Linked DNA regions of Lonchura striata. The protein of the gene in region 3 purifies or fractionates together with the protein of the main gene of each other region. This does not show direct contact. Links are inferred from orthologs where the notes say so. Each region holds a gene or a part of one and is shown on either strand. Other genes may lie near its edges. The genes, in order: SNRNP70, DDX20 and GEMIN4.

The links.
Region 1: the proteins of GEMIN4 (region 3) and SNRNP70 purify together in Homo sapiens (affinity purification with mass spectrometry; 5 studies listed by BioGRID and IntAct, counting the BioPlex papers as one, with this or other methods). This does not show direct contact. The link is inferred for Lonchura striata from reciprocal best matches to the Homo sapiens genes GEMIN4 and SNRNP70.
Region 2: the proteins of GEMIN4 (region 3) and DDX20 purify together in Homo sapiens (co-immunoprecipitation; 7 studies listed by BioGRID and IntAct, counting the BioPlex papers as one, with this or other methods). This does not show direct contact. The link is inferred for Lonchura striata from reciprocal best matches to the Homo sapiens genes GEMIN4 and DDX20.

Annotation. Positions count from the first base shown.
Region 1 is NC_134640.1:2,127,572-2,135,366, reverse strand, and holds the start of SNRNP70 (U1 small nuclear ribonucleoprotein 70 kDa), read right to left. Parts: upstream 3,024-7,795; 5' UTR 2,900-3,023; intron 1,537-2,899; 5' UTR 1,526-1,536; coding exon 1,379-1,525; intron 87-1,378; coding exon 24-86; intron 1-23. Other genes in the region: KCNA7 (potassium voltage-gated channel subfamily A member 7), read left to right, coding at 7,091-7,674. UniProt on the Homo sapiens protein: Component of the spliceosomal U1 snRNP, which is essential for recognition of the pre-mRNA 5' splice-site and the subsequent assembly of the spliceosome. SNRNP70 binds to the loop I region of U1-snRNA.
Region 2 is NC_134632.1:5,521,229-5,529,263, reverse strand, and holds the start of DDX20 (putative ATP-dependent RNA helicase DDX20), read right to left. Parts: upstream 3,066-8,035; 5' UTR 3,017-3,065; coding exon 2,833-3,016; intron 2,522-2,832; coding exon 2,427-2,521; intron 2,254-2,426; coding exon 2,085-2,253; intron 1,889-2,084; coding exon 1,774-1,888; intron 1,699-1,773; coding exon 1,556-1,698; intron 1,149-1,555; coding exon 1,010-1,148; intron 754-1,009; coding exon 695-753; intron 352-694; coding exon 269-351; intron 1-268.
Region 3 is NC_134622.1:8,702,413-8,709,543, reverse strand, and holds the start of GEMIN4 (gem-associated protein 4), read right to left. Parts: upstream 3,031-7,131; coding exon 1-3,030. Other genes in the region: GLOD4 (glyoxalase domain-containing protein 4), read right to left, coding at 4,385-4,450, 4,761-4,847, 4,936-5,049, 5,169-5,255, 5,494-5,630, 5,827-5,971, 6,362-6,482, 7,075-7,124. UniProt on the Homo sapiens protein: The SMN complex catalyzes the assembly of small nuclear ribonucleoproteins (snRNPs), the building blocks of the spliceosome, and thereby plays an important role in the splicing of cellular pre-mRNAs.

The DNA.
Region 1 (7,795 bases), on a different chromosome or scaffold from region 3:
CCGTTTGGGGGTTCTGGACGTACCTTGCGCTCCATGCGCTCCTCGCGCGTCTCGGCGCGCGTCGGTGGGGGGGCATCGCGGGGGTCCTGGGGGGACACAGAGGGGTTTTGGGGGGTCACAGAGGGGTTTTGGGGGGTCACAGAGGGGTTTTGGGGGGTCACAGAGGGGTTTTGGGGGGTCCAGGAGGGTTTTTGGGGTGGAGAGGGGGTTTGGGGCATAGTTATGGGGGTCTGGGGGAGTCTAGAAAGGGGTTTTTGAGGATTTGGGGGGATGCAGGGGAGGATTGTGGGGGTCCGGGGTGGTTCTGGGGAGTTCTGGAGAGGGTTTTGGGGAGTTCTGGGGGGATTTTGGAGCTCTGGGGTGGTTTTGGGGAGTTCTGGGGAGGGTTTTGGGGGTCCACGGTGGTTTTGGGGACTTCTGGGTTGGGGTTTTGGGGCTCTGAGGTGGTTCTGGGGAATTCTGGGGTAGGGTTTGGGGAGTTTTGGGGGTCTGAGGGAGTTTTGGGGAGTTTTGGGGAGTCCTGGGGTGGGGTTTGGGGGCTTCCAGGGTGGGTTTTGCCGGGTTTTGGGGGATTATGGGGCTCCAGGGTGGTTTTGGGGGGTTCTGGGGTGGGGTCTGGTGGTTTTGGGGGGATTATAGGGCTCCATAGGGGTTCTGGGGAGTTCTGGGGTGGGGTTTTGGGGTTTTTTGGGGTCTGGGATGGTTTTGGGGAGTTCTGGGGTAGAGTTTTGGGGGTCTGGGGAGGGTTCTGGGGGTCCGGGATAATTTTGGGGATTTCTGCGGTGGGGTTTGGGGGGTTTATGGGAGGGTTTTGGGGGTCTGGGGAGGGTTTTGGGGATATCTGGAGTGGGGTTTTGGGGGATTGGGGAGTCCTGGGGTGGATTTTTGGGGAGTCCTGGGGTGGGTTTTGAGGGTCTGGGATGGTTTTTGGAGAGTCCTGGGATGGAGTTCTGGGGGATTGTGGGGGTCTGGGGAGGGTTTTGGGGGTCCTGAGGGGTTTTGGAGAGTCCTGGGGTGGGGTTTTGAGGGATTGTGGGGATCTGTGGGGGTTTGGCCAGTCCTGGGGTGGAGTTTGGGGATCTGGGGAGGGTTTTGGGGGTCCGGGGTGGTTTTGGGGAGTTCTGCAGTGGGGCTTGGGGGGTCTAGGGGTGGAGTTTTGGGGGTCTGGGGAGGGTTTTGGGGGTCTGGGGAGGGTTTTGGAGAGTCCTGGGGTGGGGTTTTGGGGGATTGTGGGGATCTGTGGGGGTTTGGCCAGACCTGGGGTGGAGTTTGGGGGTCTGGGGAGGGTTTTGGGGGTCCAGGGTGGTTTTGGGGAGTTCCACAGTGGGGTTTGGGGGGTTTAGGGGAGGGTTTTGGGGGTCTGGGGGCTTTGGGGTACCTCAAACTCCCGGATGTAGGGCGCGATGCCGCTGTAGGGTTGGTTGTGGTGCTTCTCATGGGGCAACTTCTCCAGGGGGGGCAGGTAAGGGATGGGGTCCCGGGGGGCAAAAAGGGCCAAAAGGTTGGGGGGCAGGAACTGCGTCATCCTGGGAGGCTCTGGGGGGCACAGGGGGGAGGTCAGGACCCCCAGAACCCCAAAAAACCCACCCCAAAATCCCCAAATTCCGCCCTCGCTGCAGCTGATTCATCCCACGCTGGATCCCCAAAAACCCACCCCAACCCCCCAGAACATTCCTGAGACCCCCCCCAGAACCTTCCTGGGTCCTTCTAACCCCACACCGACCACCCCCATACCCATTCCAGACCCCCAAAACCCCACCTGGGACCCCCCAAAACCTTCCTGGGCTCCTTTCACCCTACACCAGCCACCCCCAGACCCCCAAAAACCCCACACTGCACCCCATAACCTCACCTGGGACCCCCCAAAACCTTCCTGGGTCCTTCTAACCCCACACCAGCCACCCCCAGACCCATTACAGACACCCAAAACCCCACCCTGGGCACCCCAGACCCCCATAACCCCACCTGGGACCCCCCAAACCTTCCTGAGCCCCTCTAACTGCACACCAGCCACCCCCAGACCCCCCCAAAATCCCCTCCAGACACCCCTAGACCCCCATAACCCCACCCCACACACCCCCCAGACCCCCCAAACCCCCCCAACACCCACAGACCCCCCAAAATCCCCTCCAGACACCCCTAGACCCCCATAACCCCACCCCACACACCCCCCCAAATCCCACAGCCGCCCTCAGACCCCCCAAAATCCCCTCCTAGACCCTCATAACCCCACCCTGGACACCCCCCAGACCCCCCAAACCCCCTCCCAACATCCAAAACTGCCCTCAGACCCCCCAAAATCCCCTCCTAGAGCCCCATAACCCCACCCTGGACACCCCCCAGACCCCCCAAAACCCTCCCCCAACACTCACAGCCATCCTCAGACCCCAAAATCCCCTCCTAGACCCCCATAACCCCACCCTGCACACCCCCCAGACCCCCCAAACCACCCCCAGACCCCCCAGAATCCCCTCCTAGACCCCCATAACCCCACCCTGCACACCCCCCAGACCCCCCAAACCACCCCCAGACCCCCCAAAATCCCCTCCTAGACCCCCATAACCCCACCCTGGACACCCCCCAGACCCCCCAAAACCACCCCCAGACCTCCCCCAAATCCCCACCGGACACCCAGAGCCACCCTCCGACCCCCAAAATCCCCCCCGGACACCCCTGGACCCCTCAACCCCGCCCCAGCGCCCCCAGCCACCCTCAGCCCCCCAAGCCCTCAGGGCAGCGCCCCCCCCTCACCCTCCCCACCCCTCCCCGCGCCCCCCGCCGCTCCGGGGCTCTCCCCCTCTCCCGGGCGGGTCCCCCCCGGCCCGCTGCCCTCTCGGGGTCCCTCCCGGAGCCGCCCCCGGAGCCCGCGGCCCTCCCGGAGCCCGCGGCCCTCACGGACCCCGCGCTGCCTCCGGCTCCGCGCGCGCCGCCCCCCGCGCATGCGCGCCCGCCGCCGCGCCAACGGAAGTGAGGGGCGAAACCGGAAGTGGCGGCGGCGGAAAGGCGGGGAAGGGGCCGGTAACGGTTCCGTGAGGGGGCGTGGTCAAAGGGGCGTGTCCATGCAAATGAAGGAGGCGTGGCGGACCAATCGCTGTTAGGGGCGTGGCTTAATTAACCGGTGCTGTGGGCGTGGTCTGCTGAGGAGGCGTGGTTATGAGATGGCCACGCCCCCACCGCGCGCCATGGCAACGTGGGCGGGGCTTCGCTGCCGGGCCGGGGGTTTCCATGGCAACCGGGAACAGCCGCGGGGTCCCCCCCTCCCTCCGTAGCAACGGGGAGGGAACAGCCCGTCTCGTTGCCATAGCAACCAGGTTGCCACCCACCCCCCCCGTGGGACACCCCGCGTGGTTTCCATGACAACGGAGAAAAAAAATTTAAAATAAAAACCCAAAATCCAAAATTATAAATCACGTCGCCACGGCAACCGGGATGCTCCCCCTCCCTCATCCCTACACAGGTCACACCCCCCCCCCCCCGTCCCGTTGCTATGACAACCAGGGTGACACCACCCCCCCCACCCTTCCCAATTTTGGGGTGGGGGGGTCCCCTCCTGCCCATCCCCCCCCCCCCACCGGGGTGTTCCCCCCCCCGTTAGCCATGGGGGAGGGGCGACAGCCATTCCCCGCCCCTCCCCCACCCCCCCAGGGTTGTCACCCACCCCTTGGGGACACTCGGTGACCCCGGGGGGGGTGGGGGAGGACCCGGTGTCCGGTCACCCCCCCCAGGGGTGTCACCCCCCCTTGGGGACACTCGGTGACCCCGGGGGGGGTGGGGGAGGACCCGGTGTCCGGTCACCCCCCCCAGGGGTGTCACCCCCCCTTGGGGACACTCGGTGACCCCGGGGGGTGGGGGAGGACCCGGGTGTCCGGTCACCCCCCCAAGGGATGTCCCTCCCCCCCTTGGGGACACTCGGTGACCCCGGGGGGGGGGAGGACCCGGGTGTCCGGTCACCCCCCCCCCCAAGGGATGTCCCTCCCCCCTTGGGGACACTCGGTGACCCCGGGGTGGGGTGGGGGAGGACCCGGTGTCCGGTCACCCCCCCAGGGTTGTCACCCACCCCTTGGGGACACTCGGTGACCCCGGGGGGGGGTGGGGGAGGACCCGGTGTCTGGTCACCCCCCCACCCCAGGGGTGTCACCCACCCCTTGGGGACACTCGGTGACCCCGGGGTGGGGGAGGACCCGGTGTCCGGTCACCCCCCCCCACCCCAGGGGTGTCACCCCCCCTTGGGGACACTCGGTGACCCCGGGGTGGGGGAGGACCCGGTGTCCGGTCACCCCCCCCCAGGGGATGTCCCTCCCCCCCTTGGGGACACTCGGTGACCCCGGGGGGGTGGGGGAGGACCCGGTGTCCGGTCACCCCCCCCAGGGATGTCACCCCCCCTTGGGGACACTCGGTGACCCCGGGGTGGGGGAGGACCCGGGTGTCCGGTCACCCCCCCCCACCCTCCCCCCCCCCGTTATTTTTAGCGCGGGGGGGAACCCGACACCGCGGGGCCACCCTGTCACCCTGTTTACGGGACAGCGGCGGTGACAGCGGGACGGCGGGCCGGGGACACCCGGTGACAGGGACAGGGGCCGGGGACACCCCGTGGTGGCGGGGGTGGGGGGGGGGTTGGGGACACCCGGGTGACGTGGGGGGGAGGGGGCACCCGGGGACAAGGTGGGGGGGCAACCCCTGGGGACAGCGGGGACACCCCGGGGACAGCGGGGACACCCCCGGGACAGGGTCAGGAGGGGTGGGGACACCCCCAGGACAGCGGGGACACCCCCGGGACAGCGGGGACACCCCGTCGACAGGGTCGGGAGGGTTGGGGACATCCCCGGGACAGCGGGGACACCCCGGGGACAGCGGGGACACCCCGGGGACAGGGTCGGGAGGGGTGGGGACACCCCCAGGACAGGGTGAGGAGGGGTGGGGACACCCCCAGGACAGGGTCAGGAGGGGTGGGGACACCCCCAGGACAGTGGGGACACCCCCAGGACAGGGTCAGGAGGGGTGGGGACACCCCCAGGACAGCGGGGACACCCCGGGGACAGGGTCAGGAGGGGTGGGGACATCCCCAGGACAGGGTGAGGAGGGGTGGGGACACCCCCAGGACAGCAGGGACACCCCCAGGACAGGGTCAGGAGGGGTGGGGACATCCCCAGGACAGTGGGGACACCCCCAGGACAGGGTGAGGAGGGTTGGGGACACCCCCAGGACAGAGTGAGGAGGGGTGGGGACACCCCCAGGACAGTGGGGACACCCCGGGGACAGGGTCAGGAGGGGTGGGGACATCCCCAGGACAGGGTGAGGAGGGTTGGGGACACCCCCAGGACAGAGTGAGGAGGGGTGGGGACACCCCCAGGACAGTGGGGACACCCCGGGGACAGGGTCAGGAGGGGTGGGGACACCCCCGGGACAGGGTTTGGGGACAGGCGGTGACACGGGGCCAGGCCGGTGGCAGCCGCTGGGGACCCCCCGGTGACACCTTGGGGACAGGAGGGGACCTTGGGGACACCCCTGTGACACTGGGGGTGGGGGCGGTTTGGGACACTCGGTGACAGGGGTCTGGTGGCTTGGGGACACCGGGGACACCCTCGGGGGGACGCAGTGACACCGGGGGACACCAAGAGTTGAGGGGTCCCCCCAAATCTTTGGGGTCACCCCCGAGGACCTCAAAGGTCCTGACCCCCCGTGAGACCCCCCCGAGGTCCACCCAGCTCCAACATTTTTGGGGTCCCCCCAAATCTTGGGGGTCACCGTGGGACCCCCAAAGACCTCGAGGGTTCTCCAAGGCTTTGGGGTCACCCTGGGACACCCCCTAAGTTTAGGGGGTCCCCCAAATCTGTAGGACCCCCCAAGGATCCTGAGGGTCCTCCAGCACCGTTGACCACTTGAGAATTTAGGGGCCCCCCAAATCTTTAGGGTCCCCTTGGGACCCCCAAAAGTTTTGGGGTGTCCCAACACCGCAGGACCTCGAGGTTCCTCCGGCATTGTAGAACCGCGGTTGGACCCCCAAAAATTTGGGGTCCTCCAACATTGTTGGCCCCGAATATTTTAGGGTTCCTCCAATCTTTAGGGTCCCACTTTGACCTCCAATAGTTTTGGGGTTCCCCAAATCTTTAAGGTCCCATTGGGCCCCAAATATTTCAGTGTCCCTCAAGATTTTTGGGTTGTTCTGAATGCTGAAGAACCTTGGGGTTCCTCCAACATTGTAGACCCAGTGTGGGACCCCCAGAAGTTTGAGGTCCTCCAACATTGTAGATCCCAAATATTTTTGGGGTTCCCCAAATCTTTAAAGTCCCATTGTGACCCCCAATATTTCAGTGTCACTCAAGATTTTTGGGGTGTCCCCAATGCTGAAGAACCTTGAGTTTCCTCCAGCATTGTAAACCCCGAATATTTTCAGGGTCCTCCAAATCTTTGACCTCCAATCTTGCCAACATTTTTCGGGGTTCCCCAAATCTTTGGGGTCCCATTGTGACCTCAAGTCCTTCAGTATCCCTCAAGATTTTTGGGTTTCCCCGACGCTGAAGAACCTTGAGGTTCCTCCAGCATTGTAAACCCCGAATATTTTCACAGTCCTCCAAATCTTTGGTGTCCCATTGTGACCCCCAATACTTCAGTGTCACTCAAGACTTTTGGGTTTCCCCCAATGCTGAAGAACCTTGAGGTTCCTCCAGCATTGTAGACCCCGAATATTTTTGGGGTCCTCCAAATCTTTGACCTCAAATTTTTTGGGGTTCCCCAAATCTTTGGGATCCCATTGTGACCTCAAGTACTTCAGTATCCCTCAAGACTTTTGGGTTTCCCCCGACGCTGAAGAACCTTGAGGTTCCTCCAGCATTGTAGACCCCAAATATTTTCACAGTCCTCCAAATCTTTGACCTCCAGTTTTTCGTGGTTCCCCAAATCTTTGGGGTCCCATTGTGACCTCAAGTCCTTCAGTATCCCTCAAGACTTTTGGGTTTCCCCGACGCTGAAGAACCTTGACCCTCTCGCCCCCCGCTGACCCCCAGGACCGCCGGGGCCGCCCCCCACCTGCCCCAGGCTGCCCTCGGTGCCCTCTGCCCCGCCCGTGCCCCGTCGCGGGGGCGCCGCGGGCATGGGCGAGCCGCTGGGCTGCTGCGAGCGCGTGGCCATCAACGTGGCCGGCCGGCGCTTCGAGACCTTGGTGCGGACGCTGCGGCGCTTCCCCGACACCCTCCTGGGCGACCCCCGGCGCCGGCGCCGCTTCTTCGACCCCCAGCGCCGCGAGTACTTCTTCGACCGCCACCGCGGCGCCTTCGGGGCCGTGCTCTACTACTACCAGTCCGGGGGGCGGCTGCGGAGACCCCCGGACGTGCCCCTGGACGTGTTCCTGGAGGAGCTGAGGTTCTACCAGCTGGGCGACGAGGCGGAGGAGCGGCTGCGCGAGGCCGAAGGCTTCTCGGTGGAGGAGCCGCCGGCGTTGCCGCGTGGAGGGTTGAGGCGGCGGGCGTGGCTGCTGTGCGAGCACCCCGAGAGCTCGCCGGCCGCGCGGGTGGTGGCCCTGCTGTCCGTGCTGGTCATCCTGGTGTCCATCGTGGTCTTCTGCCTCGAGACGCTGCCGCAGTTCCGCTCCGGCGCCGAGGGAGAGGTCAGTGGGGCGAGCGGGCGCGGTCGGCGGCGTCGGGTTCGTCATCGGGGTTGTCTTCATCATCCTTGTTGTTGGTGCCGTTGTCACCATCTTCATCAACTTCATCATCAGTGTCATTTTTATCTTCGTCATTCTCGTTGTCGGTGTCGTTGTCACCATCTTCAGCATCTTCATCATTAGTGTCATTGTCAT
Region 2 (8,035 bases), on a different chromosome or scaffold from region 3:
ACCACAGAACGGGCTGGGTGGGATGGGCCCTAAAAGTATCACCTCGTTCCAGCCCTGCCATGGGCAGGCAGACGAGGCATGGGGCTGATTTCTAAGCCCCGCTGTGAAAATAAGTCCCAACCCCCAGCGCTTCACCAGCACATTTATGTCCTCTCCAATTCCAAGCCAAATCTAATCCTCTGAAGTAATTTTATGTGCAGTACTCCTGCATGCTGTAAAATTTGAAATAGAATCTGTAAAAAGCTTGTTTGAAAGCAGTAAATCTCACCAAGTCTGTGGAAATCAGAACTCTGCAGTGGAATTGCTTTAATTTAGCCATGGCATCAAGTCGTTGATTTTGATTCATGTTGCCTAGGAAGATAAAAATTAGAAGCAGGTTACATTCTTCATCTTTATGCCACTCACATTCTAGAAAACACTGCTTTGTATCATCAGGATAAGTTAGAAACTTCCTCAAACATCAGCCCCAAATGAGTAAAGAAGGAACAAACAGAACCGGAAAACTCAGGTCACTCATTGCAAAAAAAATTCTTTTCCTTGTAGATGGAGTCTTGAAAGACCTATGACAATTCAAATGCTATTCTCAGCCATTTAACCAGAGGCCCTGCAAGGCAAGATTGAAGATATATTTTCCTCGTTTAGGTCACATTTATGCACAATTTCAGTGGAATCAGAAAATTGTGAATGGTTTTACCTGAAATGCACTCGGCAGGGAAGCCTCTGGATGTCAGTATTTCAGCCAGATGTTGAGCCCTGAGGGAACACACACACTGAAAACTGGAAATAAAACCCCAGGCCTAACAACACCTGCCAGTCCTTGGGTTACTCTCTACAGCCAAGGACTGCATTGTGATATTTTCAGTATTTCACACTGCATTCCTCAGGCAGTATTTCAGAGCTGAGGTTTGCAGTCCGAGGCCTTGCAGGTCCCATGAATTTCTCTGAGCCTGGGCATTACAAGCACTGCTCCCAAACAAGCTTTGTCCAGGTGTTATTGCAAATGTGTTACCTGCTGTGCAGATTTGAGAAGACTAAGGCTTGGTTGAAAGGAATCTTGCTGAACAACTCCTGCAGGTGCTGGGTTTTTTCCTCAAAGGTTTTATGTGGGAGGGGATGGGAATTCACGATTTTGTAGTACTGCTTCAGCCCTGAGCAGGAAAGCAAAACAACAGATTAGGGGCTGCCATAAAAACATGCACAGAGTTCTGTAAACACGTGGTAGTGCAGCTGAAGGGAAACTGCAAACAGACAGACATCAGAACCTCCAGGAGAAAATTTTCTAAAAAGGCTAGAATTTTTGAATGGATAGAAAAAGGAGGGAGCTCCATTTGTCACTGGTATTTCAAAAATACAGAATCACAGGTTTGGGTTGGAAAGGCCTTTAAAGACCTTCTCATTCCACTTCAAGGTTCACTACATCAACACTGGGGATCAATATTCATAAACTGAACAACCCAGGGGTGAAATTAGGAACTAAAGGCAGGTGTTTTGGCTTTAGTGCCCTCCTCGTCATCTATTGCCAGCCATGCCACTGTGAGTGCCTTTATGTGCTCACCAAGAAGGCTTGGGTCCGTGGGGTTCAGCCTGACGAAGGTGGGCTCCCTCATGTACCTGGTGAGGGCAGCAGCCAAGGACTCGGGGTAGGTGGCTGAGACCGCCAGCATCTGCTTGTTGAGCGGCAGCGAGGAGTAGATCCAGCTGAGAGACAGGGGCAGGCAGTCACTCACAGGGCACCCGCCTGCCCACGCAGCCTGGCAGGGTGCTGTGCCTTACTTGATCTGCTCCTGGAAGCTGCCCTCCTCCAGCAGCTTGTCCGCCTCGTCCAGCACCAGCAGCCGCACGCTGGCCGTGCTCAGGTAGTCCAGCTCGATCAGCTGCTTGATCCGCCCTGCAGGAGGGAAACACCAACAGCTCCAGAAACGGGGCCCCAAACACCTTCAGCGTGACCTTTTAAAGTGTTCCTGAGCTGCTCTGAGGCTGTGCCCTGTTAGTGACAACAAACTCCCCCAAGCCAGCTTCCCGTGGCCGGTTACTGACCTGTGCAGGCCCACGGGGACCCAAACCACGGCAAAGCTGCTCCCTACCTGGGGAGCCCACAGCTATGTGGCACTTCTTCAGCCTGCTTCTGTCCTGGCTCAGAGGAGTCCCTCCAATGAACACGTGGCATTCCAAGCCTTCCATTTTTATGCCAATGGTCGTGATGACGGCGTGGATCTGTACAGCAATCTCCCTGGTGGGAGCCAGGATCAGGATCTGTGTGGGGCAAGGGTTAACTGGGGGGATGGGAGCTAAGCCCAGCACCGCAGCGATGCAAACCGCACTGTCTGGTGCCACATCCCCCAAAAACAGCCGCTCCCTCCGCAGAGCCCCGGTGCCACATCCCCCCAAAAGGAGCCGCTCCCGCCCCAGAGCCCCGGGTGCCTCACCTGCGTGGCCGGGCTCTCCAGCAGCACCGCCTCCAGCGCGATGGTGGCGAACACGCACGTCTTGCCGGTGCCAGACTTGGCCTGCACGATGAGGTCTGCAAAGAGTGGCTGTGGCAGTCAGGGCAGCGCCGGGGGTCAGGACAGATCCCGGGATCAGGGCAGATCCCGGGGTCAGGACAGATCCCGGGATCAGGGCAGATCCCGGGGTCAGGGCTGATCCCGGGGTCAGGACAGATCCCGGGATCAGGGCAGATCCCGGGGTCAGGGCTGATCCCGGGGATCAGGGCACCTCCTGGGGGTCAGGGCAGATCCCAGGGTCAGGGCAGATCCCGGGGTCAGGGCACCTCCTGGGGGTCAGGGCAGATCCTAGACCCATCCCGGCCCCGCGCCCGGCCCGCCCGCTCACCCAGGCCGCAGCGCCCCAGCGGGATGGCCTTCAGCTGCACGGGCGAGGGCCGATGGAAGCCGGCCGCCTCCAGCCCAGCCAGCACCGGCGGCGACAGCAGGAGGGAGCCGAAGTCCGCGGGGCCGCCGGGCAGCAGCACGTCCCGGGTGCGGACCCGGCCCGCCGCCTCCCTGGGCGCCGCCATCTTGGCGGGCCGCGGCGGGAGTCTCGCGAGAGCTGCCCTGATCCCGCGGCGCAGCGCCGCCAGGGGGCGCGGCGGGGGAGATGGCGGCGGCTCCGCCTGAGGGCGGGCGGGCACGGGGAGATGGCGGCGGCTCCTCCTGAGGGAGGGCGGGCACGGGGAGATGGCGGCGGCTCCGCCTGAGGGAGGGCGGGCACGGGGAGATGGCGGCGGCTCCGCCTGAGGGCGGGCACGGGGAGATGGCGGCGGGGGCAGCTCCGCCTAAGGGAGGGCGGGCACGGGGAGATGGCGGCGGCTCCGCCTGAGGGAGGGCACGGGGAGATGGCGGCGGGGGCAGCTCCGCCTGAGGGAGGGCGGGCACGGGGAGATGGCGGCGGCTCCGCCTGAGGGAGGGCGGGCACGGGGAGATGGCGGCGGCTCCTCCTGAGGGCGGGCACGGGGAGATGGCGGCGGCTCCGCCTGAGGGCGGGCACGGGGAGATGGCGGCGGGGGCAGCTCCGCCTGAGGGCGGGCGGGCACGGGGAGATGGCGGCGGCTCCGCCTGAGGGCGGGCACGGGGAGATGGCGGCGGCGGCTCCGCCTGAGGGCGGGCACGGGGAGATGGCGGCGGCTCCTCCTGAGGGAGGGCGGGCACGGGGAGATGGCGGCGGCTCCGCCTGAGGGCGGGTACGGATAGCGGGTCAGGGCCTCCGGAGCGAACAGCGCCATGTAGCCCCAGATAAATAACCGCAAATAGCCCCAGATAACCGCAAATAGCCCCAAATAACCGCAGATCGCCGCCGAGCGCCGCCGCTGGCCCCGCACACACGCCCCGGCCGGGCCGGGCGCTGTCCGAGCGCCCCGGCTCTGCCGGCCCGGGCCGTGCCCGTCCCGAGGACAGCGCACAGAACACGCGGTTTGCGAGCCCTCAGAACATGACAGCAAACATAACAGCGTAGTGTTCGCTCGGCAGAGGGCAAGCGTGTTAATCTGTATGTGCCCTACTTACTACCCTCTGTAGGCCACTTATTTTAAATTTATGAATATCAGCCTTTATGGCAGCGCTTCGGAGGCTCTGGACGTGCAGCTTCCATTCATTGCAAGGGAATTTGGAAAATCTCCACAGTGGCTTCTACTGTACAAGCACATACACTGTGCCATTATTCTTACAGTGCCGGGCAGCCAAAATGAATTTTAATGGCTTTGGTGTATCACAGGCTTGGTCACGCCTTTGAAATTCCTCATGCCTGTATTTCTGATGGGGAGAAAAGTCTGTCAGATTCTATTCAGTTATGTCTTATGATGATGATATTTTCCTGTGGATATCTGAGTACCAAACATCAACCCTGCAGGACACAGAGCAGTTCCAGTTTGGAGAGCTCCCCTCCACCAAGGGGGAGCACACCACGTGGCTGGGACAGGTAACAGGATCCACAGGCATGCCACTGTTCCAATTATTTTTTAATTTCTAAGTGGATATTCTCATTGGTCCTCAAGGGGAAAGAGTCTCCATGAGATAATTGTCTCTGGATAAATCTGGGAAAGGAGACAGACAAAGACACCTGGACATAACAAACATTTGATTAAATAGAGCCTTTCATAACCCTTTTAAATTGATGTGATTTGAACAGACAAGAAAGAGCAGTGAGGAGGGACTGTTCCCAGGGGGAAGGGCAGCGAGGAGGTGACAGAACAGCCCCAAGAGCCATTGCAGGAGCTGCTGCCTTCTCTGTTTCTCTCACTTACTCCTGTTCTCCCGAGGTTCCGTGCAAGTTGCAATTCCACCAAGGTGATCTGCAGACAGGCGTTGTTCTCTGTGGTGCATTAATGACACATCCCGACCATCATTCACAAAGGTGCTGTTTGTTATTTCATTTTCCTTCAGCCGTTCAGCGCAGACACTCTCCAAAGCGTCTCCCTGTGTGCCAGCCTCCCTTGGCAGATTTGTCCCTGTCGCGCTGGTTCTGGCCCTGACGGAGGGGCTGTGTCACATTTCGGCTCCTGCAGCTCCGCCACTCGATCCCATGAAGGGTTCTAGCCCTCATTCCTGTAGGAAATCTCACCTGCTCCTGCTCTTTTGTTGTGAGCCCATGAAGGGTTTTGTTCTAGCCCTCATTCCCATAGCAAATCTCACCTGCTCCTGCTCCTCTCTGTGTTTTGAGCTCTGTGCAGGTGCTGTGCTGTGAGTCACAGTCCACACAGGAATCTTCTCCCTTCAGGCCTTGCTTTACCTCAGTGACTCTCAGCACTGAATTCCTGTTGCTGACCTTCACGTGTCAGCCCTGCCAAGAGGAATCTGCAGCTTTGCCATGACAGGGCTTTGCTGTTGCTTGCTGGAAAGCCAAAGGCAGTATTCCTGCTCAGAGCAGCCTTTGGAAATCCTGACATTCAATCTGAATGCTCTGCAGGCAGAATAGGTGCTGGGAAAGGATTTAGGTTAGTAAAGGAAGCCGATGAGACATCCTTCAGAGCTGGAATATTACTAAAATAACAGGTTCCTTTGAAGGGATATAAACTCTCTAGCTTGGGGTCATAAAACTCCTTGAGGTTTTAGGATGTAGAAAAGCCCTGCTAGGGAAAATTCTTCCTCCCAAATACACTGAGAGCATGTTTTATTGCTCCAAGATAGTCCTCACCACATTTTTGTCCCTGCTAGAAAGTGCACATCACAGATTTGATTTTAATTGCATGCGTTTTCCCCTGAATCTGTAATTCAGTGTATCAGCTTTAGGTAAGGGATGTTCTAAGACACCTCTGAGTGATGCTGCTGGGGCTGCAGGTCAGGTGATCACTATTTCAGACTGTTGCAGACTATTCTAGACTATTTCAGACTGTTTCAGACTATTTCAGCCTAGCACCTGCAATACCAGGATTAGCACTTGTACTAAATACTTCCCACTAATTTATCCATCTCCTCCATTTCTTATAAATCTACTCTTCCATTTCCAACACTTAAATTCTCATTGTGACTCTTTGAAATACTGAGGTAAAATGCACATGGACAGTTTGTATTGGCTTCCAGAATTGTTGGGTTGTATTTATTTTAAGAATATATTCATTATTGATTTGGCCATTGCTACTGCAAACAGGCACCAGCCTTGCCTTATTCCTTTGCCTTCAAAGGATTTGTCTTTCAGATCTGCCAAGACATGGAATTATTCAGTGCAAATGTGGTTTACACAATATTTGTAGCATATTTTGAAAGTGAGATAATCTCATCCTCCTCTCGCAGATGTTTTCAGATTAAGACAGGGAAGTTTCTCTGTTCTCTGCAGCACGTGTGAGTCACTCTTTGGAGTGTGGGACATGTTTGTGTTTCCAGTGCCATGGAAACTGTGTTTGCTCTCTGTACAGTAGAGCCCAGGCCAGTGAAAGGGCCATTGATCCCAGCAGAGACGGCGCCTGCGTGTTCACCACGGAAAACTGCACATTCACCTGCCCTCTGCAGAGGAAAGCTGCCTGGGAGTTACCAAGGAGCAGCAAGTCTTGGGAGCAGCAGAATCTTCCCCGTTGCTTCAGTGATGTCCAAGCTGTGGCTCTTCCCAGCGAGCCTGTGCGTGGAGCTGCCATAAATAACGGTGACGAGGAGGAGGATGGTCCTGTCCTGCCTCCATCTGAGGCTCATTTCAGTGCCCTCCTGCGGAACGGACGGGGCTCCTCGTCAGGCACGTTCTTCACAAGGGTCAGGGAGAATTCCCCAGATTTCAGATGGAATCTCAAGCCCACGGGGGAGCCATCACAGGCACATGCACGGGTGCAGCTGCAGGTAAAAGCAAGCTGGCCTAAGGGACCGGGTCAGAGCAGCTATTTCAGCTCTGCAGAGAGAAATGCCACTATTTCACTCCTGTTGTCTTCCAAATAAATAATCATCATCCCAGTTTAATCTTCGATACCAAGATTTGCTACATTATTTTTTGAGCTCATGCGAGCGGGATCTAGGTCACGAAAATGCAGCGAGCCGAGCTGAAATGTAGGAGATGTTCAGCACAAGCAGTGCTGCATGAGGAGCTGCCCTGCTCCTTACTCCTGGCACTCCAGTGCAGGCAGAGCAATGCCAGGAGCTGGAATTTGGCTGGAGCAGCGTTAGAAGTTTTTATTTTGAGGATGGGCATAGTGAGGCTGGGGCACGTCAGAACTTCACATATAAAGGCCGCAGAGGCTGTATGCACTAAATTAGACTTAATGGAAGAAACAGTCATATTTTCAGGGCTATTTTATCTCTTTATGCACAAATATAAAACCAGCAAAGTTCTGACATTACATCCTTACCTATCGTGGCTGGGTGTTTCTGCCCCAGTGGGTTCAAACAAGGATGGATTCAATTCAGGTCATGCTGCAGCTGAAGTGGGAGGAAATTCTGAAAGGTTTGTCGTCAGTGTGCAAGAAAGTCAAAAGGAAGGAAAATTCAGCGATAACCACGCTTGTTAGTTCAGCAGAGAACAGTCACGTGGGAGCCTGGAGAAAGCAGATCAATGAACTGAAAGACAACAAATGAGCTGAGCCTTCAGCTGTGAAGGGATGGATGTTCCCTCAATCAGGAATGAACGAGGCAGTTCATAGAAGTGGAATACTCCACTCTGAAGGAGTATTCTAATTTTTGCCTAAGGATCTCAGTTTTTCTTTTTGTCCTGAAATAAACCATGTAGCTTTCTGCTTCGGGGAGTTTTATTCTTGGCTCTGTACTTTCTCGGAGATCTGATTTTCCAGTGCACTGCACCATCTGCTCATGGTTTACACCACGACAGAGCGGAAGGAGTGCAGGGCCTGGCATGAGGTGTCAGTGCTGCTTTGAACCAGTTGTCTACACGCAAGAGAAAAATGCTGCTTAGTAAGGAAATTCTACTGAGAAAATATTTCAGATTTTTTTCTTCCTTTGCAAGTTCCCAGGAGTTTGGAGCACATGAATATGCCGGTCTTTTCTTTATTCTGTGCTCCTGAACTCCTTTATCAGTCTCCTGGGACAGGAGCAGCCCCGAGGCTGGAAAACGGATCAAAAGGATGTCCTTAGCAGAAGCCAAACGAGCCTAGGAGCTCTTCCTGTTC
Region 3 (7,131 bases):
CACCTCGTACTGCGACAGCACCTCCAGGGCCACCACCAGCAGAGGCTCCTCACAGCCCCCAGCAGGCAGCATGGCAGCCACGTGCAGCAGGTGGCAGAAGAGCTGGATGCAGGTGAAGGACACCTCCTGCGCGCAGGGCTGAGCCGCGGCCGCCGCCGCGGCCTTGAGGGAGGCCAGCAGGTCGGTCAGGCTGGCGCAGTACAGCTGCACCACGTGCAGCCAGGCCTCTGGAGGCAGCCAGCTGGAGCAGCTGGAGCTGCAGAGGAGCTGGAAGCCCCGCAGGAAGAGCACGGAGAGCTGCAGGTGGCAGGCGAAGGGGCGCAGGTTGAGCAGGGGCACGTGCTGCACGTACTCCAGCGTGTAGGGCACGTGCAGCACCTCCTTCTGCAGCAGCTGCTCCACCACGGGCACCAGCCTCCTCCACTCGCCGGGGCTGCACCAAGGCAGCACCTGGATGAGGGCCACCAGGAAGCCTTTGCTGAAGAGATTCACCTCCTCGGGGTTGTCCACGTTGACGCAGAGCAGCGCCAGCATGGAGTCCCTGAGCGCTGGGGACACGCAGCAGCACTCCATCCACGCCAGCAGCCCACTGCCCGGCCCGTAGGCTGGCCAGGACTGGCACGTCCACTCGTCCTCAGGGAGCCTGCAGATCTCGAACAGCGTCGCTGGGACCTCGTTCTTGAAGTGATCCCCATAAAGCTTCTTCAGACGGAGCCCCACGGTCCAGTCCAGGGATGCCACCTTCCTGTGGAGCCAGGCCAGCGACTGCACCCACAGCTCCGAGGAGGGGACGGTCTCTGGTCCCACCAGCTCGCACAGCTGGCACAGGATGCTCAGAATCAGGTCTTTGGTCTCCAGGGAAGGGAAGAGCTGCTCCCTAGGCCGATGCCAGTACTTGGTGTAACCATCCAGAAGTTTGCAGAGGCTAAGGAGAAGTGGGAATGGGTGGCAGGACTCAATCCAGTGCTCTTCTGAGCAGGATGGTATTCCCAAAACCTTACTGAGGATCTGCAGGCTCAGCTCAATCTGAGCAGAGTCTGACTTTAAACAGGGAAGGACAAAGGCTTCGGTCACTTCTGCAGGTGACACAAGTGGGGTGGCTGAGCCTGGCTGCATGAGAAAGGCCAGGAACTGAAGGAATTGCTCCTCTTCCCTCGCCGTGGAAAGCTTCCCCCACACTGCCTCCTCCAGGCACCTCACCACCAGGCTGCGTGGCTTGCCTGCACCCTCGTGGCTCTCCAGGAAGCTCAGTGCTGGGAAGGAGCAGAGGATTTGGGCGAGGAACTGGTGCGCCCCGAGGTTGACCACAGCAAGATGACAAACCTGCTTCACTGTGGCCTCGGGGGACAGCAGTGTCAGCCTGGCCACAGAAGCCACAGCCCTGGCCAGGCCTTCATCAGACACACTCTCTGTGATCTGGTTCAAAGTCACATTCAGGTCCTCCTGGAAGCCCTCCCTGACAACCTGCACGTTCTGGGACAGACCTGGGCCGCCCCAGGACGCCAGGACAGCTGAGATCACTTTGTTTTTGTCACTCAATGAAAGCTCAGTGTAGCACTCCACGATGGCTTTGGTCACTTGCATCTGCAGCTCTTGGGCCTCCTGGTCATGGTGGGAAGTAGCAAAGTTCACCAGCGTCTCCAGCAGTTTCAAAACTAGCTCAGGAGTCTGGAACAGAGCTTTATTCTTCACCAGGCACTCGACCCAGGCCTTTGAAAAAGCCCAGGTCTTTTCAGATGCAAAAACAGAGCAGGTTTCCCCATGGCGGTCCAGCCTCTGTGCAATGATTGCCATGGCAACTGAAGACACAAGGCTGGTGTCCAAACCCTTCAGGACTGCACCGGTGTCCCTGAGCAAGTCCTTGATGAGCTGTGTCACCTCTGACACCACCCATGTCCCGCCATCCCCCAGGTCTCTGGTCTCCAAGAGGAAATCCAGGTTCTTCCCAAGGCTGCTCAGAGCGTCCAGGAGCCGGTAGCTCTCAAAGCAAAGCCCCTCACACCCCCTCAGAGTGTCCTGCAGCTCCTCTCCCCAGGCCTGCAGCAAGCTGCAGAGCAAGCCTAAGCCATCGAAGAGCTCCTCACGAGAGGGTTTGGTCAGGCACAGGAGGCTCAGGCTCCTCTCTGCCTCCCTCACCTTCTCTCCCAGCTCGCAGGGGTGGTACTGGCTGTCAGCATCACTGCTCCAGAGACTGACCACGGCGCCGAGCTTGGCCAGGTGCTCCGCGATGGGCAGGGGGCTGTGCCCCGGCCCCAGCACCGAGGAGAGGCACAGCAGCTCCGCCAGGTTGGCCAGGGCGTAGCACCTCAGGCGGGGCTGGGCGATGCTGCCTCGGATCAGCTTTAACCCCTCCAGCAGCACCGCGGGCAGCCCGGCGGTGGCCGCGGCGCTCCCAGGGTCACCCTTGAACCTCTTTGGGGGCTGCAGACCATCCTCGGGGGGGGACTCCCCGCCGTGCTGGTGGATGAGAGCGCCGAACGCCGACACCGTGGCATCCTCCTGCCCCGCCCTGTGCTTCAGCACCTCCCACCACACGTCCAGGAAGAAGCTGACGTCCGACAAGGAGGTCTCGCTGGAGATGTACCGCACCAAGCTCTGCAGCTGTGCCCGGCACACGGCCGGCGGCAGCGCCAGCAGCAGCTGCACCCAGAGCCGCGGCTCGCCCAGCGCCTTCACCAGCTCGAAGAGCGCGGCGGGGCTGACATCGGGGATCATCGCGCCCACCGAGAAGAACCCGTCATCCCTCCAGCCCCACTCCAGCGCCGGCAGCAGGATCTTGGCCCACACGATGGCCACGGCCTCCTTCTTCCACCGGCGGCGCGGCGCGGGGCAGCGCTCGGCGATCTCGCGCAGCGCGTCGGCGATGGGCAGCCCCGCGCGGGGCCAGTCGGCCTTGCGCAGCTCCCGCAGCGGCCGCGGCTGCAGCAGGCGGGCGGCCAGCAGGAAGCCGCCGTGCAGGATCGCCGTCTCCTCGCCCACGGCCCAGGGCCCGCCCGCCGCCATGGCGGGCCCGCGCTCCGCCGCCGCCATGGCGCCCGCGCGGTGACGTCACGCCCGCGCTGCGCTGACGTAACGCCGTCCGCCCCCGCCCCGCCGCGCGCTCGCAGCGGCCCCTGGCGGCGCGGAGGTGTGCTGCTTAATTAATTAATGAAATCATTAATTAAATCATTAATGAAAAATTAACGAATTCATTAATGAAATCATTAATGAATTGATTAATGAATTCATGGACTAATATAATTAATGAAAACATTAGTGAATTAATTAATGAATGAATTCATGGACTAATATAATTAATGAAAAAATTAATAAATGAATTCATGGACTAATTCATTGCCATGCTCCACTATCAATGTGTTTAATCATACAAATAGGATTCCAAACCGCCATTAAAATGGAATTCAAAAAGCTGACTGAAAAAAAAAAAAAACAAATCGCAGTGAGGAGTTTTTCCTGCTCCACCTCAGAAGTGCCAACGCTGCCCGATCGATCGTCTCTATCAAACTCGTTTCGCGATGAAAACCTGATTTAAAGGATTTTATTTAAGGTTTTCATCAAGGAAACGATGGTCAGGCAGCATACGTGGCACAAGCAATGATGGGAATGACTCCCTGTATTCCCAGCAAAAGCAGAGCAACTTCACTCCAACACAAAAAACCCTGAATTGTTATTTCCAAAGGCAGCTTCTCACCAACAGCTAAGTGAAAAACTTATTTCAAGCTGCCCCCTGGCACCTCAGCAGACAGTGCAGCTCCAAACCCCAAAGCACAGCCTCAGTTCCCTGCTGGAACGTGGAAATCTCCTGGAGAAAGACTGGAAACCCAGCAACAGCAGGATCCCAGTGAGAAACACACCACGGGCTGAACATTTCCCCTTGGAAGCTGGGGAAACTCCTTGGAATAACAAGGACTGGAGTATTCACGCAGCTTGGCAAGATCATTTCTTTGTTCCCAATAAAGGGATGCACCCCACACCTCCCTGGAGAGGGGGAGTAGCCACAGCTGCCTCCAAATCTCCTCTCTAGCCTGCAAATGAAGGACAGCTAAAGCAAAGTAATCAGGAAATTAATTAATCAGAAAATAACCTATCCACCTTTCCTTGAAGCATAACAACACAGAAATGTGATTCTCTCTTGACTGATGGTCCCTGTTTTGAAGCCAAGGGCTCAGCTGCTCCTTTGCTGCATGGCCCCCGTTTTTTTGGATGGATGAGATGTGAAAGGGACAGAGCAGCAGGCCAGAGACATCAGCTTAAATCAACCCAAAAAAACCCACCACAGGAAATCCCAGCACCTTCTGATTAGGAAGGCAGCACTTTAACCAGGATTGGCACTTTCTTGGAAGAACTCCAAGGCACAGAATAGCAGCACAGGCCATTCCTCCAGCTAAGCTGAAACCTTCTTCATGTTGTGCTCAGCAAACCACTTGTCACTGTTGTCTGCAGCCATGGCCTGCACAAAGACAAGTGGGAACATGGTCAGAACAGGAGGAAAGCTCTCTGGAGAGATAAATCATTTTTTAGCTACTAGTAAGGAGAACTGACACTGAAAACCAACTTTCTCTGCCACAGCAAACAACGAGACCATGCCCCAAGAGTGATGCTGGACAACTCCACCCAGGGCACCAAGTGAGATTTAAAAACTGATTTATTTTCCTTACCAACCCTGGGTGATTTGCTTCCAGGAAAAACTCAGCATGGAATGAAAATTGGATTTTACAGGTATCTCTAATCAGGAAGAAAATGAATGTGCAGCCACTTACATCATCCAACAGCTTGTCACCATTAGGGTCCACCTGGGACAGCTCTCTGAATGCTTCATCCCCCACAAAACAGATTTCGTGGCCATCCTGAAAGGAGGCAGCTCAGTTATAACTAATGGCAAGGAGGAACTGAAACCAAATTTAACCACTTTTAAAACTTTTCAGTTTTACTCACAGGATCAGCCAGAATCACCACCTGCACCGTGGCTTTGCCAGGCGTGTCCAAGCTGACCAGGGGCGTCAAGATTTTCTGATTCTCCTTTTTCATCAGGGCTTCAATGCTTGGCAGCTGGAAACAGAAAGCAAACCCAAATCACCTCGCTGCCAAAGAGATAAACTATCTGCTCAGGGTTTTGTTAACACCAAAACAACCTTCCCCAGCTGGGGGGAGGGAAATGGGGCTGTTACCTCTTCCTTGGCACAGGAGAAGGCGATGCGGCCGAACGCTGTCCCGTGGTCCACTGCTCCTCCAACAGCCTTCAGCTCCAGCTTGCACTGGGACAGGGAAAAACCCAGCCTGGCTTGCAGGGACACTGCTCCAGGCTGCAGCTGATTCCAAAATCCCCCATCCACGCCTTTCCCAACAAGCCACAGCAAACCACAGCTTTGCTTTTTTATTTTTAAAAGCGCAGCTGGGTGTATACAGCGTCAATTAAAACACTCATCATTAAGGGCACAGTTGCTCTAATTAAGAGCTTTTTTCCTGAAATTGGTGATTTTTCCAAGGACTGACCTGGTTATCAGCGTAGCCCAGCAAAGCCCTTTGTTTCTCCTCATCCTTCTCATAGATTTTCATCCCAAGCAAACCAGACCAGTAGCTCACAGACTTCTGCAGGTTTGAGACACCCAGGGTTACCTTCCACACGGGATCTTGAGGATTGCAATAATTTCACATTAGCTACAAACATATTATAGCTTTAAATCCACAGTTAATGTCATTAGTATTCTTGAGAAGTAACAGAGAAATTATAAAAAAAGTGTACTGTTCTACAAAATGCCATCAAAATAAACACACTCTGATACCCCACTGTTAAACCTCTGCTGAACACCAGCAGGGGTATTTCACCTTGCTTGGGCTGTTCTTTGTCTTCCAGGTAGAATTTGTATCCTCCTGGGGCTTCAGCTTCAAAGACACCAGAGGTGACTTCTTTGAGGGGCCACCCCATCTTCTTGGCATTGCTCACAGCCTGGCTGGACACCAGAGTGATGCCCTAGAGAGGACACAACACAATCCATGGGGTGGAGGCAGAGACAGAACCTCCTTCCACACAGGAAACACGAGATCTCCATCTGCTGCCAGCCACTAAATCACAAAAATTATCAAAATAATAAATATAAGAGTGTTTTCCTGCAGCAAGTTCCTCCTGTTGGATCTGGCAGCAAACACCAGCTGTCCCACACAGCAGAGGGAGAGCTCCAGAAATGTTTCCTGGACCTCTAAGTGAGCACAAATCTGCTCTGGATTCTGCTCTTCCAACTCAGAGACAACCATAAAAGCAACGATTATGTGGTTAAGGGACCCAACAGCATAAAAATAAGCAGCTGTGACAAATGAGCTCCTAATTATCAAGGTAAATCAGCTTATCATGAGTGGAACTCACCAGGAAGTCGTTGCCCAGGCGATATTCTCCAATGCCATAATTGTAAGTCAGCTCTGCCACAAAGTGATTGTCCTCTGGTCCGTAACCCACCATGGTCTTGCTCCATTTTCCATCATAAGGGCTGGAATATCCATATTATCCATATTTTAATGTCATTAGCATTGAAATGAACCACCAAGAACTGCGAGTATTTGTGTTTCAAGGAGGAGTTGTGTTTCTAGAGTGAAATCGTGGCAGATTTGACCCCGGGCTCTCTTCATATGATAAAAGCAATTCTACCTCATTAACAGCTGGTGCTTTAAGAGCACAGGCTGCTCATTAGCTGCAATTACATAATCACTTCCTTATTGCTAAGTAGGAAAGGGCACCAAACTGTAAGATTCCTTCCACTTCACAATGAAATGCATTCCTCTTTCTTCTTCTTTTAATTTCTTTTTCTTTAGCCTTGGGCTACCAGGAGGGATTTTTAACTCAAGAACCTTGATAGTGCCACGATTATCTAAACAATCAGTGGAACTGGAGTCCTGATAAGCTGAGAAATTCCTGATAAGCTGAGAAATAATTAAGTATCAACCTAGAGGCGTGGTATTTCTGTGCAATATAAACACCACACCTACACAGAGTGGGGGGCTGCAGGTTCCAAGGGAAGCAATTTAATAAGAAACAACCCAAACTTTATTTTACTGTGAACAACAGCTGCACCGGGCACTCACCCGTTGCAGGTGGCCTTGCAGCCCTCCTCGAACTCCTCGTGCCGCAGCACCTGCAGA